2 linked regions of the Notamacropus eugenii genome follow. The protein of the gene in region 1 binds, or shares a complex with, the protein of each later gene. Links are inferred from orthologs where the notes say so. Each region holds a gene or a part of one and is shown on either strand. Other genes may lie near its edges.

Region 1 (7,265 bases):
GGCTTCTCTCTTTCAAGTTTCTTCTCACTCCAAATCATATGCCAAAGTGATTTTCCTCAAATACAGATTGGATCATGTCATTCTTTACTCCAACTCATGTGACTATTACTTGTAATCATCATTAATGCTTGTGTTTAGTTTTTAAAGCCTTTCACAATTTACCCCTGATCTATGTTTCTGGTCTCACTGCCCTTTCCACCCTCTATGATCCAGCTAAGCTGGCTGTTTCCCATGTCCTCTCTAACCCTTCCCTATGCAGTGGACCATCCCTTCCAAGAAAGCATGAAAGAGAGAGAGAGAGAGAGAGAGAGAGAGAGAGAGAGAGAGAGAGAGAGAGAGAGAGAGAGAGAGAGAAGGAGAGAGAGAAGGGAGAGAGAAGGAGAGAGGGAGGGAGAGAGATGTTTATCAAAACCAATTAGCTAGACAACCATGTTGGACAGTATATACAATATTTTATACCCGTAGTTCCCCATCTTGGTAAACAATCTAAACAAGTTTCAAAGGACAAAACTACACTCAACCACATTGTGTCTCAAGAACAGTGTCAGAGGGTAAAACGACAGTCTTAACTGTGGGTGTACCCTCAAGCTTTGGTCCATAGCCATCTTTCTATGCTTTGTTAATCTTGCTTACTGTTAAAAGAAACATAGGCACATACACCCAAACACCCACTCTTCACATGGTTGTACATTCTGCCTTATGCCTTTGTGTACTATTAGATGAAATCTTCCCCTTACTAGCTAAATCTATCTATGTATCTATCTATCATCTATGTATCTATCTGTCTTTGCTGTGTTAACCACCACCACTGTCAATAATGAAAAGTTTACTACGTGAAACCCAAAAACTTTGGGGAGTCAGGTTGTAATCCTCCTGAGCAATTGTTTTTTATTGTTTGAATCTGCTTTTATCCTGAGAAAAGATACTGATGAGTATTTATTGTTAGTTGCCATCTGGATCTCCTTAATGACAATGGTGAACATCTTTTATGAGTATACACCTTTATAGCTTGATTACTATTAATGATCAGAGGGTTTCCAAAGAGGTTCTCCTTTTTATATATTTCACAGAATCTTGTATAATTTTACCACATGGACAGGAAGTATTTTTGTAGGAGGAGAGCATCTTGTCCCGCTGAATCAAATACTTTTTTATGGTCATCAATATAAAAAAATAATCACTGCGATCTTGTATTTTGTTAATTGGGTGATGGTAAAAAAAAATTGTGGTCTATTTTAGAATCCTCTTTGCAAAAGCTAATCTCTTTCCTTCTAATGAATTCCCTCATTAGTGAATTTGTATAGGTTTTAAAAGTGAGCATGTCTGGGAAGCTACTAGTGTTTTTTGTTGTTGTTGTTGTTGTACTAATAAAGTTTGAGATTTATTTTTTTCAGTTTTGACATTTTCTCCTCCTTCAGATAGCTTGAGAATCAATCCTTAACACCTTCAAAACTGTGTCACTTCCAACACAGACTTCCTCTTTATATCTTTGGTCTAGTAGTTATTTTTTTTCAGTTTTTGTTTTCTTTAGTGCTCTTTCTATTTCCTCATACAGCACATTCCCAGCTATGATGTTACAACCAGAATACATTGTCCTTGATGGAGAAAGAGTTTGTTATAAAAAAAATTGCAGATCTTTCTCACAGAGTTGTGTGGCACTCCTTAGATCTTATCTTTTGCTTCTATGATTCTAATTTTTTAAAAATTTGATTTTTTATTGACATTGTTGGTTTTTATGTCATCTTAATTTATTAATATATTCATTCCCTTTCACTACCTAGTGGGCCATCCTTCCTAACAAAGCATGAGAGGGAAAAAAATTCATCAAAACAAACCAACTTGTTAAATCTCAATATCTATATGAAACAGATTTTAACTGAAGAAACAACAACCACCAAAAAAACCCAAACACAAATGCAAAGCAAACTAAGAATATATTTTCAAGCTATGTGGACTTCATAAGAGCTGTGTGCCTGAAGTTGCTTTGGTAGGGAGGACACAAAGGATGAAAAGAGATACTCCACCTCCAGAGTCCATGGATCCTAGGAAAAGAAAAGGGTAACAGCAATCTCAAATGAGTTGAAGGATCATTGATTTAGAAGGTGCTGAGGAGGTAACTTTGACATCAAGTCCAGTTCTCTCATTTTACAGAGGAAGAACTGAAGCCCTCATTGCCCAAGGTTAAACAGGTAGAAAGTAGCCCCTCATCCAGTCCAGGACTGGGATTTCAACCCTGATCTTTTGATTCCAAATCCAGCTTTTCCCACTGTATCTGCCATCACAGTCAGGCCCTGAAGAATCTCTTCTTTTGCTCTCTATGTTTAGGGTTCTGCAGCAGCCAGTGACCATCCTCACCTTGAGGCCGAAATCTAGAGTTATTCTGATGCTCCAAGAGCTGACAAAAACTTTAGGGAATCTTAAAAAAAAGTGATACTGATGAATGAATTTTTCCTTCTCTCTGGTTGGACCTAATCAAGCTCATATGTTCACACTTGGGTCAATTTCTGGCCAGGCCACAAACTCTTATCCCTGCAGGGCTCCATCAGTGCTAGGGTTGCAGTCAACCCTCAACACCCCTTACCTCTCTTTAACATCTCATCTTTCAACATCTCTTTACCTCGATGCACATCCCAGTTTCCATTATAAAGAACCGATACTTCCCCCATCAATCAAGCAATCAGTGTTTATGATCACTTTTTTTGATTTTTTTGAGCACTTACAAAGGCAAAAGCTGTCCCTGCTCTCAAAGAGGTCACAGTCTAAGAGGAGAGATAACATGCAAACCGCCATGTATGAATGATATATTTAGGCTGAATTGGAGATAATCTCAGGGGAAAGACTGCTAGCCTCCTTAATGCTAGTGCCCCGTCTCTAAGAGGTATCTTGAATTTATCTTGTAACATATCTTATTTGTAAAAGGTTTCTTGCTAAAAGTGGGATTTTATTAATTAATTTATTTGTTTTCAGTTTTCTATAATCACTTCCATAAATCTTAAGATTTTCTCCCCCTTTGTCCCTCCTTCTTCCTGACTCCCCCCGCCTCCCCAGACTGCATGCATTCTTATATGGGTTCTACACATCCATTCTTACTAAATACATTTTCAACTTAGTCATGTTGCATGGAAGAATTAAAACAAATGGGAGAAACCATGAGAAAAACCAAATCAAAACAAAACACAAGAGAAAATAGTCTGCTTCATTCTGCAATCCAATTCCATAATTTTCTGTGGATGTGGATGACATTTGCCTCAAGAGTCCACTGGGAATTTTTTAGATCCTTGCATCGCACTGCAGTACTAAGTCTGCCAGAAAAATTCCTCCCACACTGTGGTTGTTGTTGTATACAAAGTTCTCCTGGTTCTGCTCCTTTCACTCAGCATCAGTTCCTGTAAGTCCTTCCAGGCCTCTCTGACATCTTCCTGTTCATCATTTCTTATGCCACAACAGTATTCCATTACATTCATGTACCATAATTTATTCAGCCGTTCCCCAGTTGATAGGCATCCCCTTGATTTCCAGTTCTTGACCGCCACAAAGAGAGCTGCTATAAATACTTTTGTACATGTGGGACCCTTTCCCATTTCTATGATCTAGAAGCACTAGTGCTGGGTCAAAGGGTATGCACATTTTTGTGACCCTTTGGGCATAGTTCCAAACCACTCTCCAGGATGGTTGGATGAGCTCACATCTCCACCAACAATGAATCAGTGTTCCAACTCTCCCACATCCTCTCCAGCATTGGCCGTCTTGTTGTTCTGCCGCCTTAGCCAGCCTGATAGATGTGATGTGGCACCTCAGAGTGGTTTTGGTTTGGGACTCTCTAATCAGTAGTGATTTAGAGCATTTTTTCATAGGACGACAGATAACTTTAATTCCTTCCTCTGAACCCTGCCTGTTTATATCCTTTGACCATTTATCAACTGGGATGAAGGTGGGATTTCAGAGGCGACAGGAGGAAACCAGGAAAAAATAAAAACAAAAATCCAAACCAAACAATCTGTCCCTCCCTTCAGAGAGCGGACAGCCTGACGGGTACAGAGGCGTATACAAATCAGAACACACTAGATAGATTGTAGAATAAATGGGTGCGTCCTTGGAGTAAGTGAACCCCGCTTCCGGGATGCCACCACAGAAGAACCAGCCCGAGCCTGGGGGACCTGGAACTTCAGGGGCGGGGCGGAAGGACGGCGGAAGCAGGGCGGGGCTCCGGGAGCTAGGGGGCGGGGCGCCAGGCATGAGGGGCGGGGCCAGCCCAGAGGGGGCGGGCCTGGCCTGGCCCTGGGGGCGGGGCCAGTCCGGGGGCGGGACCGGCGCGAGTGGTGACGACTTCCGCCTCCATCCGAAATCTCCCGCCTTTGAGAAGCGCTGAGTCCTGGTTCTGAAGGGAAGGGGTCCCGGCACGTTTAGGGCACTTGGGGCTGCCGCAGGTAACAGCTTCGCGTGAGGGTCTTGGGACGCGTTTCCTCTTTCCACCCTGTGAGTAGGTTGGCTTTGTTTCCCCGGGTCCGGGGAGTCCCGGAGTGTGTGCCGGGTCCCTGCTTCCCCTTGCGGGGACTGGGCTTGAGAAGCGGGGCTGGTACTGGGGGGCCTGGGGGGAGAGGGAGAAGCTTGTGCCGGGTGAGTGGTGCCTGGGGGGCGGCGCGCTTCGCCTCCCTGGGAGCTCCACGTCTGGGAAGGTCGAGCTCTGGAATCTCCATGCTTGCGTCCCTCCCCATCCTGTACCCCCCCCCCCCCCCTTTACCCTCTGGGGGCCATTGAGAGTAGCAGGACCTCCGTCCGGGTAGGGAGGGCTTGAAAACCGGGGGTGTGGCGCCCGGAGCCACGGCGTGACTGGGTCGGGTCACAGGCAGCAAGTGTGGCCGGGAGGGCTGCGCTTGAGATCCGGTGAGGCCATGGTTTGAACACCACCTTCTGCACTTAATAGCAGATCACTTAACCTTTGCTAAGTCAGTTTTCTCGTGGGGCTAATCCCGATTGTAGTGTCCCCTCTTTCTCAGTCGTTCTGGATCCTTTCTGACCTCACTTGGGGTTTTCTTGGCAAAGACACTGGAATGGTTTGGCACGTCCTTCTCCAGCTCGTGTTAGAGAGGAGGAAAGTGGGGCAGATTGGGTTCAATGACCTGTCTGGGATCACACAGCTAGGAAGTGTCCGAGGCCACATTCGAACTTGGGAAGATAGGTCTTCCTGACCTTAGGTCTGACACCATCCACCGGGCCATGGTGGTTCAGACAGAGTGAGAAGTGACTGCGTCTCTTTATCAATTTATATACAGTGGCAGCATGAACCAAGAAGCAGTTGTGTCTCTCCATTTATATACCGTTCTTTCATGATCTATTTAACAATTGGATTTTACATATGTCGTGTTTAATTGTTTAGATTTGACCTTGCACTTTTAACGTGACTAGGTATTGGATTGTTTATCCCTGTCAAAGGTAATATATGGTCAAAACGACTTGTAAGTCTGTTCCCTTAGCTGAATAAAGTAAAAATACCTATGATTGTGGCCAAGCCATTTAACTTTTCAGTGGCCAGCTGTTCTGTGTAGGTGGAACAAGATTTCCAACCCAGAGTTCTCCACACTAATGAAAGCACATTTCGAGACTGAAAAAAAAGAGAAAAGAAAAGGAAAAAGGCACCTGTTTCATAAAGTTGTATGTAAAGCAGTTTGCAAGATGGTATAAATGTTAAATGTCATTGATTGGCACAGATTTTTTAAGTGAAATTGATGGGCCACTGCACTCCTCTTTGTCCTCCTACTCCTCATAATAAACATATATGTCTGTAGTTCTGTAAGGTGTATAGTGTATTTTTCTTACAACAGCTCTGTTAGGCAGATAGTATAAGTGTTGATAATAGCCAACATTTACTTAGGGACTACTATGTGCCAGGCACTGGAATAAGTACTTTACAACTATTATCTTATTCGATGCTCGTAACTACTCTGGGAGGGAGCTGCTATTATTATCCTCATTTTACAGTTCAGGAAACTGAGGCAGAAAGAAGTTAAATGACTTTCTCAGGGTCACACAGCTAGTAAGTATCTGATTGGATTTGAATTCAGTCCAAGGGAGAGCTGATGATCACCTGAACTAAGGTGACAGCTTGGAGATGGATAAGAAACATGGTGTGGAGGTTATCAACAAGCAATCATCATGAGACATATGTGAAAACCAGGCTTATTACAAGAGAAATGAACGTGCATGTGGAACCCAAAGAGTTCAAGTCTTTACAGAATGTATAATTGGTAGAATTCCTTACTCTGAGACCAGTAACACATACCTCTTAACATGTATGTTGGTGAAAATTAGGAACGCTCCTCAAGTGGGCAAAGTTGAAAGCTGTCTTGCTATATTTTCAACTAATCTTTATTTATTTATTTATTTATTGCTTAAGTAACAAAGATGCAGTTTTCTGGATCAAGGAGAAAGAAACTGAGTCTGGCAGGGGACCAGAGAGGTGCTTCCTATCCTCATAGCCTTCAGTTCTACCTACAACCTCCTTCTGAAAACATATCTTTGGCAGAGTTTGAGAATCTAGCTATTGAAAGGCTTAAACGTGAGTGATATTTTACATTGTAACTGTTTAAGCAAGGTAACTTTGTATGTTTAAGTAAGGTAATTTTGGATCACTCATTTCTTTGAAATTCAGGTACATGTTAGCCCTGAATTCTAATTTACCACAACTGTTGACTTGAAGTGGGTTCTGAAATGGTTAGTACTGTTGGGAAGGATAGATAAGTTACTTCCTTTCTTTGTTTTTTGAATTTTAAATAATATTTTATTTTTTTCCCAATTGTACATAAAAACACTTTTTAACATTTTTTTTAAATTTTGAGTTTCAAATTCTCTCCTTCTCTCCCCTTCCCCCTCCTTGAGAGGGTAAGCAATTTGATGTAGCTTATTCATGTGCAGTCCTACAAAAGAAATCCCTATATTAATCATATTGTGGAAGAAAACACAAAAACAACACCAAAAATAAAGAAAGCAAAAAAAAAAAGAAACCCAACATGCTTGGATCTTCAGACTCCATCAGTCTTTCTCTGGAGGTGGATGGCGTTTTTAATCTTGAATCCTTTGGAATTGTCTCGGATTATTCTGTTGCTGAGAATAAATTAGGATCATTGTAGTACGTTGCTGTTACTGTGTACCATGTTCTCCTGATTCTGATCACTTCAGGATAAGTTACTTTCAAAGAGCCATTGATTGCTAAGTGTAACAGTTTCTTCATGGCAATCATTTTGATGACTTGGTGTCTATATTTCTGC
Region 2 (6,982 bases), on another chromosome or scaffold:
AAAGATCAAACAGAAGAAAAACAATGAGGAGAGTGTGGTGTCACAGAAGAAAAGAAAAGATGGCATTTCCAGAAAGGTTTGATCTAGATGAGGGGTTCTTAACTTGGGTTCCAAATACCCCTCAGGTGGTACTTGGAATCTATTTGCATAGATTTCAAGAGGGGATCTATGAACTTGGGACTTTTAATAATTTTGATAATCATATTATATAATAATTGATTTCTTTGTAATCCTATGTATTTTATTTTATTTCATACATTTAAAAACATTTATTCTGAAAAGAGCTCTAATAGGCTTCACTAGACTGCCAAAGGGACCCTGGACACTAAAATGGTTAAGAACCCCCAATCAACACAGGGCTTCCAATGTTGCAAAGAAACAGAATGAAGAATGAGAAAAGGTTACTGGATTTAGCAGTTGATAACTTTGGAGACAGCTATTGATCTTGGAAGAATGACAAGGGCTTTTCAAATGCTGCCAAATCCTGACTATCTTAAACAATCCTAGCTGTGGAAGTCCAGCAAAAGGAGAATCCTGGGACTACTTCTGGAAACCAGATTTTCAGGCTACTTACAAAAACTATGTAACCTATGTCAACCATTATAGTTTGTTCTAAGAAACAAACAAAATTAGGCTGCAAGGTGTCAACCTGAAAATTTGGTTAAAGGAGGCAAACAGGCTAGGTGATAAGTAAATCTATATTGTTTGTTCCCTTAAAGCTAGTCTAAGCTAGCTAGCTTGTACATACAAAGTGCCAGAGTCTAAGTTCTGACTGTCTGATGAAAGAATGACCATGCTTAAATGTGTTTTAGAACAATTCCAACTCAGCATGTTTGTGTCACTTAAATTTATGATCTCCATATATGATTAGCCGTATTATGACAAAGGAATTTTCTTAATTGAATAGATGGTAAATACAAAAGATAAGAGAGTTGATAAAGTGTCCATTGAAATTATAACCTAGGATATCTGTGTTTTCTTTACCATTAACATGTCATAACATAGTATGCATCCATAAAATATTAAGATAAGAAAAGGTCTCATTATTCAAGATAGTGTCTCAGGTGAAGGGTCTCATCCTTAATGGTTGTAAACAGAGGAAAGAATGCTCTTAAGTCAGTCCCATCTGGCCAAGGTCAAGTTGACATAGGAGAGGTATTCTCAGAGAACAAAGAAGCTGTTAGTTCCAGGCTCTTCTTCTGGTTGATTAGTTCAGGCTCTGTCGCTTATTGAGGTTATTAAATTGATATTAAATGATTATCAATGGGCAAGCTGATTTCTCTCAAAGCTGGCAAATCATGCATATAGAGATATACATGAGAGTTCGTTGTGAAAATGAGTCCAAGGAAGAATGGAAAAGGGGGACCTTATATCTTCAGAGCAATTTAATTTCCTCTCACTCCTCCCTCCCTTCCCTGCTCAAGATACCTGTGTCAGACAAAATTATAGTCTCCATATGTGTTAACCATAATATGAAAAAGGAATTTCTTAGTAGGATAGATTGCCCATACAATAATATTAAAGAAGGGTCAAAATGTCAATTAAAATTCCAGTCCAAAATGTCTGTGTTTCTTCTATCATCAACATGATATAATATAACAATGTAATTTAATATAACATAATGAAATATAATATAATGTAACATAATATATGTCCATAAACTGCCAAGATAAGAAAAGTGCCATTATTCAAGATAGCATCCCATTCAAGGTGAGTTGTCCTTGGCAGTCAGGAATGTTTCTGGACAGTTTCATCCAGCCTTGTAGTTATTGACACAGGAAGGAGCATTTTAGGTTCACTCAGAGAGCTGATCAAAGCATGTCTGCTATGCTACAGCCCGAAAAGCATTATGGTAGGTTAAGTTCAAAGTGGGCCAAAAAATGCTTTTCTCCTGATTGGTCAATCCAGGTTTTAGGCCTTTCTCAGCTGGGGGGCTCGGGGGTCAAGGAGGTTTGGGGAGGTCTCTGGCTAGTTCACACCTAGGTACTTCTCTGAATGGGAGAAATCAATGAGTAGATGAAGTTCTGCTGACTGAAAGGGAAGTCTGACTTGTGATCTGTGGATAAAATGCGCTCGACTTTCTTCCAACCCCATAAAGGTAAATTATTAGAACAAAAATGGGGATGCCACATCTTCTCCCAACTCCTTGTGAATGCATCCATCCCTCTCTCTTTTTTTTTTAACAGAAAGAAATTTATTGGGAATATTTTGAGAATACATTTGAAAGAATAGGTCAATGTTTTCCAGCAAGGTAGGGAGTAGGGATGCTCATTCACTTCAACCAGAGCAAAGGAAGCCCCATTCAACCCTCTCTACACCTTCTCTGAACATGTTGACATTCTCTCATTGCCCTTCTGGCAGGCAGAACTTCAGCACCTTCTCCAGTATTTCCTCCTGCCAGAGACATGCTCAGACTCACAAAAGCTTTCTCACCTTTGGACATTTTCCTTCAAGATTTGGATCAAATACTTAAGAAATTAGGGCTTTTCCTCGGGGTGTGATAGAGACCTGACTTGGAAGAGCCAATCGCTAAATTTTCATTGCAAGAATTTGCACCCTGAAAATCAGCAAGCTACAAATTGGGGGTTGATTTATTGTTTGGGGGTGGGTGGGAATCAAAGAAGGCTTTGTAAAGGAGGGAGTAATTAAGTTGAACCTTGAAGGAAAATATCCCTCACCAAAGCAATTGCTGCTTTTTCTCAAGGTGTGCTGGAGACTCACGAAAGTCAACTGCTAAATTTTCATTGTGAGAATTTTACACCTCAGAAATCAGCAAGCTACCAGTTAGCTTAATTTACTATTTTGTTTATGACCAAGACTCTAGATTTAAGAACGTGATAGCTTACACAGTAACAGCCATGTTGTTCAGTGACTGACTTTGATAGACTTAGCTCTTCTCAGCAAAGCAAGGACTGAAAACATCTGCAAAAGACTCATGATGGAAAATACCATCCACATCCAGAGAAAGAAATATAGAATCTGAACGCAGATAGAAGCATACTATTTACTCCCTGTTTTGTTTTGTTCTTTCTTTCTCATGGTTCCTCCCATTCGTTCTAATTCTTCTATACAATATTACGAATGTGAATAATAAGAAGTTTTTTAATAAGAAGGTACGTACATGTAGAGCCTATATGAAAGCCTATGCCTGCCTTAGGGAGGGTGGAAGGGAGGGAGGCAGAGAAAATTTAAAACTTATGGAAGTGAATGTTGAAACCTAAAAATAAATTAATTTTAAAAAAAAGAAATTGAAAACAAGAATGCTGGATTTGCAAGAAAGTAATGGAGAAAATGTTAATAATACAGATTTAACTTAAAAGTGTGTCCAGCATACAACCCTTTCCCCTATCCCAGTCAACTGTGAAACATTTACCAGCACTTTTACCCTGTCTGCCTCTCCTCCAGTTTTGTATTTATTCTTGTGCTGTATCTTCCCATACAACACGGGTCGCTTAAAGGCTGGGATTATTTGCTTTCCCTCTTGGTATCCCTAGCGCTTAAGTTGCTTCCTTGCACACAGCAGGTGCATAATAAATGTTGGATGACTGCGGACGATCTCCCTTCCTGTCTCGTTCAAACTCACTTCAAAGGTCAGTCAGTCAGGCTAATGCTTCTCTTTCTTTTAACTAAGAATTATCCCTTAATTTAATTTAACATTCATTGTTTAATGAATTCCAAATGCTCTCCCTCTTTTCGGCCCCTCCCCCGCCCAGGTAAGACATATGCTATCAATTATACATGGGAAATCATGCAAAGCATATTTCCATATTCAGGTTAAGGATTCCTGTAATTCACTTCTCTCCTCAGTGACCGGATGGGGCGGGACTGCGTGATCTTCAACGTCTTCCGGCCTCTAACGAGTCTCTCCAGTTCCCTATGGAGGATACAGAAGTAAATCAGTACTTCCTTCTTCCTTCTCGCGCGCCTGAGCACAAAGTGCTCTCTCCAGTTTACAGTGCCCTATCGAAGAACTACACGTCCCAGAAGGCCCCGCGAAAGACCCTTTCCCGTCGCGCCGCGGGCGCGCCTGTGCAGTGACTTAGACTCGGGATTCCCATTTCCCGCCAAACTGTGAGACTGGGGTTTCTCTTGCCGCTAGACAAAATCCCCGAGGCCCATGGCGGCGTTTGACCCCAACGAGCTGCCTGAGCTGCTCAAGCTTTACTACCGGAGGCTCTTTCCCTTCTCCCAGTACTATCGCTGGCTCAATTATGGCGGAGGTGACCGGGGAATGGGCTCCCGGGAGGGGAAAGCAGCTGCGGGAGGGGGCGGGGGGAGGCGTGGAGAGCCTTGGGGGCGCACGGAATAGGAGTGCCGTCCTCTCCAGGTGGGGAGAGTGACCCAGTCACCCCACTTCTGGGGCCTGGCCTCCTTGAGCCCAGCGCCTAGGAAGCGCTTTGTAAGCGTTAGCCATCCTCATCGTCATTGTTACTGTTGAAGCGCTACATAAATATCGGCTATCGCTGTTGAAGCGCTACGTAAAAGTTAACTGTATTCCTTATTGTTGTCAGATTGAAACTCTATGTAAATGGTAGCTCCCATCATCGCCGACATGCTGTGGAAATATTACCCATCATCGTTATTGTTCTTGTTGAAGCGCTGTGTGTAAAAGTTAGCCATCATCTTGGGCCGTTATTGTTACTGTCCAAGAGCTGCATAAGTGTTAGCGATCGTCATTGTGCAAGCAAGCGCTGCATAAGTGTTAGCGATCGTCATTGTGCAAGCAAGCGCTGCATAAGTGTTAGCTATCATTACTGTGCAAGCAAGCGCTGCATAAATGTTAGCTATCGTCATTGTGCAAGCAAGCGCTGCATAAATGTTAGCGATTGTCATTGTGCAAGCAAGCGCTGCATAAATGTTAGCGATTGTCATTGTGCAAGCAAGCGCTGCATAAGTGTTAGCGATCGTCATTGTGCAAGCAAGCGCTTCATAAATGTTAGCGATTGTCATTGTGCAAGCAAGCGCTGCATAAATGTTAGCTATCGTCATTGTGCAAGCAAGCGCTGCATAAGTGTTAGCGATCGTCATTGTGCAAGCAAGCGCTGCATAAGTGTTAGCTATCATTACTGTGCAAGCAAGCGCTGCATAAATGTTAGCTATCGTCATTGTGCAAGCAAGCGCTGCATAAATGTTAGCGATTGTCATTGTGCAAGCAAGCGCTGCATAAGTGTTAGCTATCATTACTGTGCAAGCAAGCGCTGCATAAATGTTAGCTATCGTCATTGTGCAAGCAAGCGCTGCATAAATGTTAGCGATTGTCATTGTGCAAGCAAGCACTGCATAAGTGTTAGCTATCGTCATTGTACAAGCAAGCGCTGCATAAGTGTTAGCTATCATTACTGTGCAAGCAAGCGCTGCATAAATGTTAGCTATCGTCATTGTGCAAGCAAGCGCTGCATAAGTGTTAGCTATCGTCATTGTACAAGCAAGCGCTGCATAAGTGTTAGCTATCATTACTGTGCAAGCAAGCGCTGCATAAGTGTTAGCTATCGTCATTGTGCAAGCAAGCGCTGCATAAATGTTAGCGATTGTCATTGTGCAAGCAAGCGCTGCATAAATGTTAGCTATTGTTACTGTGCAAGCAAGCGCGGCATAAATGTTAGCTATCGTCATTGTGCAAGCAAGCGCTGCATAAATGTTAGCTATCGTCATTGTGCAAGCAAGCGCTGCATAAATGTTAGCTATCGTCATTGTGCAAGCAAGCGCTGCATAAGTGTTAGCTATCATTACTGTGCAAGCAAGCGCTGCATAAATGTTAGCTATCGTCATTGTGCAAGCAAGCGCTGCATAAGTGTTAGCTATCATTACTGTGCAAGCAAGCGCTGCATAAGTGTTAGCTATCATTACTGTGCAAGCAAGCGCTGCATAAGTGTTAGCTATCGTCATTGTGCAAGCAAGCGCTGCATAAGTGTTAGCTATCATTATGGAAGCGCTACATAGATACTAGTTTATCATTATTGTCCAAGTGCTACATAAATATCACCCTTATTGTTATTGAAGTGCTATATAAATATTAGTTATCGTTATTGTCCAAGCGCTGCATAAATGTTTGTTATCATTATTGTGGAAGCGCTCCATAAATCAACTATCGTTTTATTGTTGTTGAAGCGCTATATAAAAGTTATCTTCATTACTGTTGAAATGCTGTGTAAATGTTAGCCATCATCGACATTAATGCTGAAGCGCCATATAAAAGTTATCGCCATGATTGTTGTTGGACTCTGTAAACATCCTCATTACTGTTACTATCAGTGAGGTTAAAGTATTTCAGGCAAGATGAGGAGGAGCCAGGTCTTCTCTGGGGATGGCTCCTCTCCTCTCTTTTCAGTGCTTCCTCTCACCCCTTCCACATCTAAGTTACTTAATGAATTCTGGTTGGATTGCATTAGAGTAAATTTGTTCTGCTTGCTCCAGAGTACTAAACTAGGAGTAATGGGTAAAAGTTGAAGAGGAAGATGAAGCCTGGAATGAAAAGAAAGTATTTCCAAAAGTAATAGCCTTTGAGAAAGCCCTCTTCACTTAAGGCCCTTTTAAGCAAACCCTGGATGAGTACTTGATTGTGTTGTAGACTGGGTTCTTGTTTTAGTTCTGGGTTGGCCCAGATGCCCTCAGAGGTCCCATCCACCTCTGAGATTTTGAGAATTTTTCCCCTCTCCCCTCCCAGTCTTTTGAGTATCACTGCTTAGAGCTAGGGAAAAAGGAAATTAACAATTTGAGCTTTGAAATCCTAGGGCTCTGGGAACCAGGAGACCTGGGTTCTAATCTACCTTCTGCTAGCTCACTGAGAAAATGAGAGGGTTGGCATGGAATTTTGGATCCCTTGATGTTTGATCTATGAATTCTCCAGGATCATAGAGAGCTTCATAGGCCTAGAAGGGAAAAGGACCTTCAAAATCATCTAATTCAACCCTCTAATTTTACAGATGAGAAAACTGAGGCCCAGAGAGGTTTAGTGACTTTCCCAAAGTCAAATGGTTGATCA

Evidence for each region.
Region 2: the proteins of PRIM2 (region 1) and PRIM1 are in contact, whole or in part, in a crystal structure (PDB 5EXR), measured with the Homo sapiens proteins. The link is inferred for Notamacropus eugenii from reciprocal best matches to the Homo sapiens genes PRIM2 and PRIM1. Residues at the interface, in NP_000938.2 of Homo sapiens: Glu165, Ala168, Ser169, Pro171, Ser172, Phe188, Ala189, Leu192, Phe195, Arg196, Gly197, Arg198, Val200, Tyr201, Leu202, Glu203, Asp204, Gly205, Phe206; in NP_000937.1 of Homo sapiens: Lys147, Glu148, Asp149, Phe150, Gly151, Phe152, Ala180, Val181, Gly184, Ile185, Glu187, Tyr188, Ser190, Leu191, Lys193, Lys207, Ile208, His209, Pro210, Ile212, Arg213.

Annotation. Positions count from the first base shown.
Region 1 is NC_092873.1:125,584,073-125,591,337, forward strand, and holds the start of PRIM2 (DNA primase large subunit), read left to right. Parts: upstream 1-4,263; 5' UTR 4,264-4,427; exon of another isoform or gene 4,428-4,476; intron 4,477-6,394; 5' UTR 6,395-6,402; coding exon 6,403-6,556; intron 6,557-7,265. UniProt on the Homo sapiens protein: Regulatory subunit of the DNA primase complex and component of the DNA polymerase alpha complex (also known as the alpha DNA polymerase-primase complex) which play an essential role in the initiation of DNA synthesis.
Region 2 is NC_092874.1:232,034,189-232,041,170, reverse strand, and holds the start of PRIM1 (DNA primase small subunit), read left to right. Parts: upstream 1-3,982; 5' UTR 3,983-4,117; coding exon 4,118-4,220; intron 4,221-6,982. UniProt on the Homo sapiens protein: Catalytic subunit of the DNA primase complex and component of the DNA polymerase alpha complex (also known as the alpha DNA polymerase-primase complex - primosome/replisome) which play an essential role in the initiation of DNA synthesis.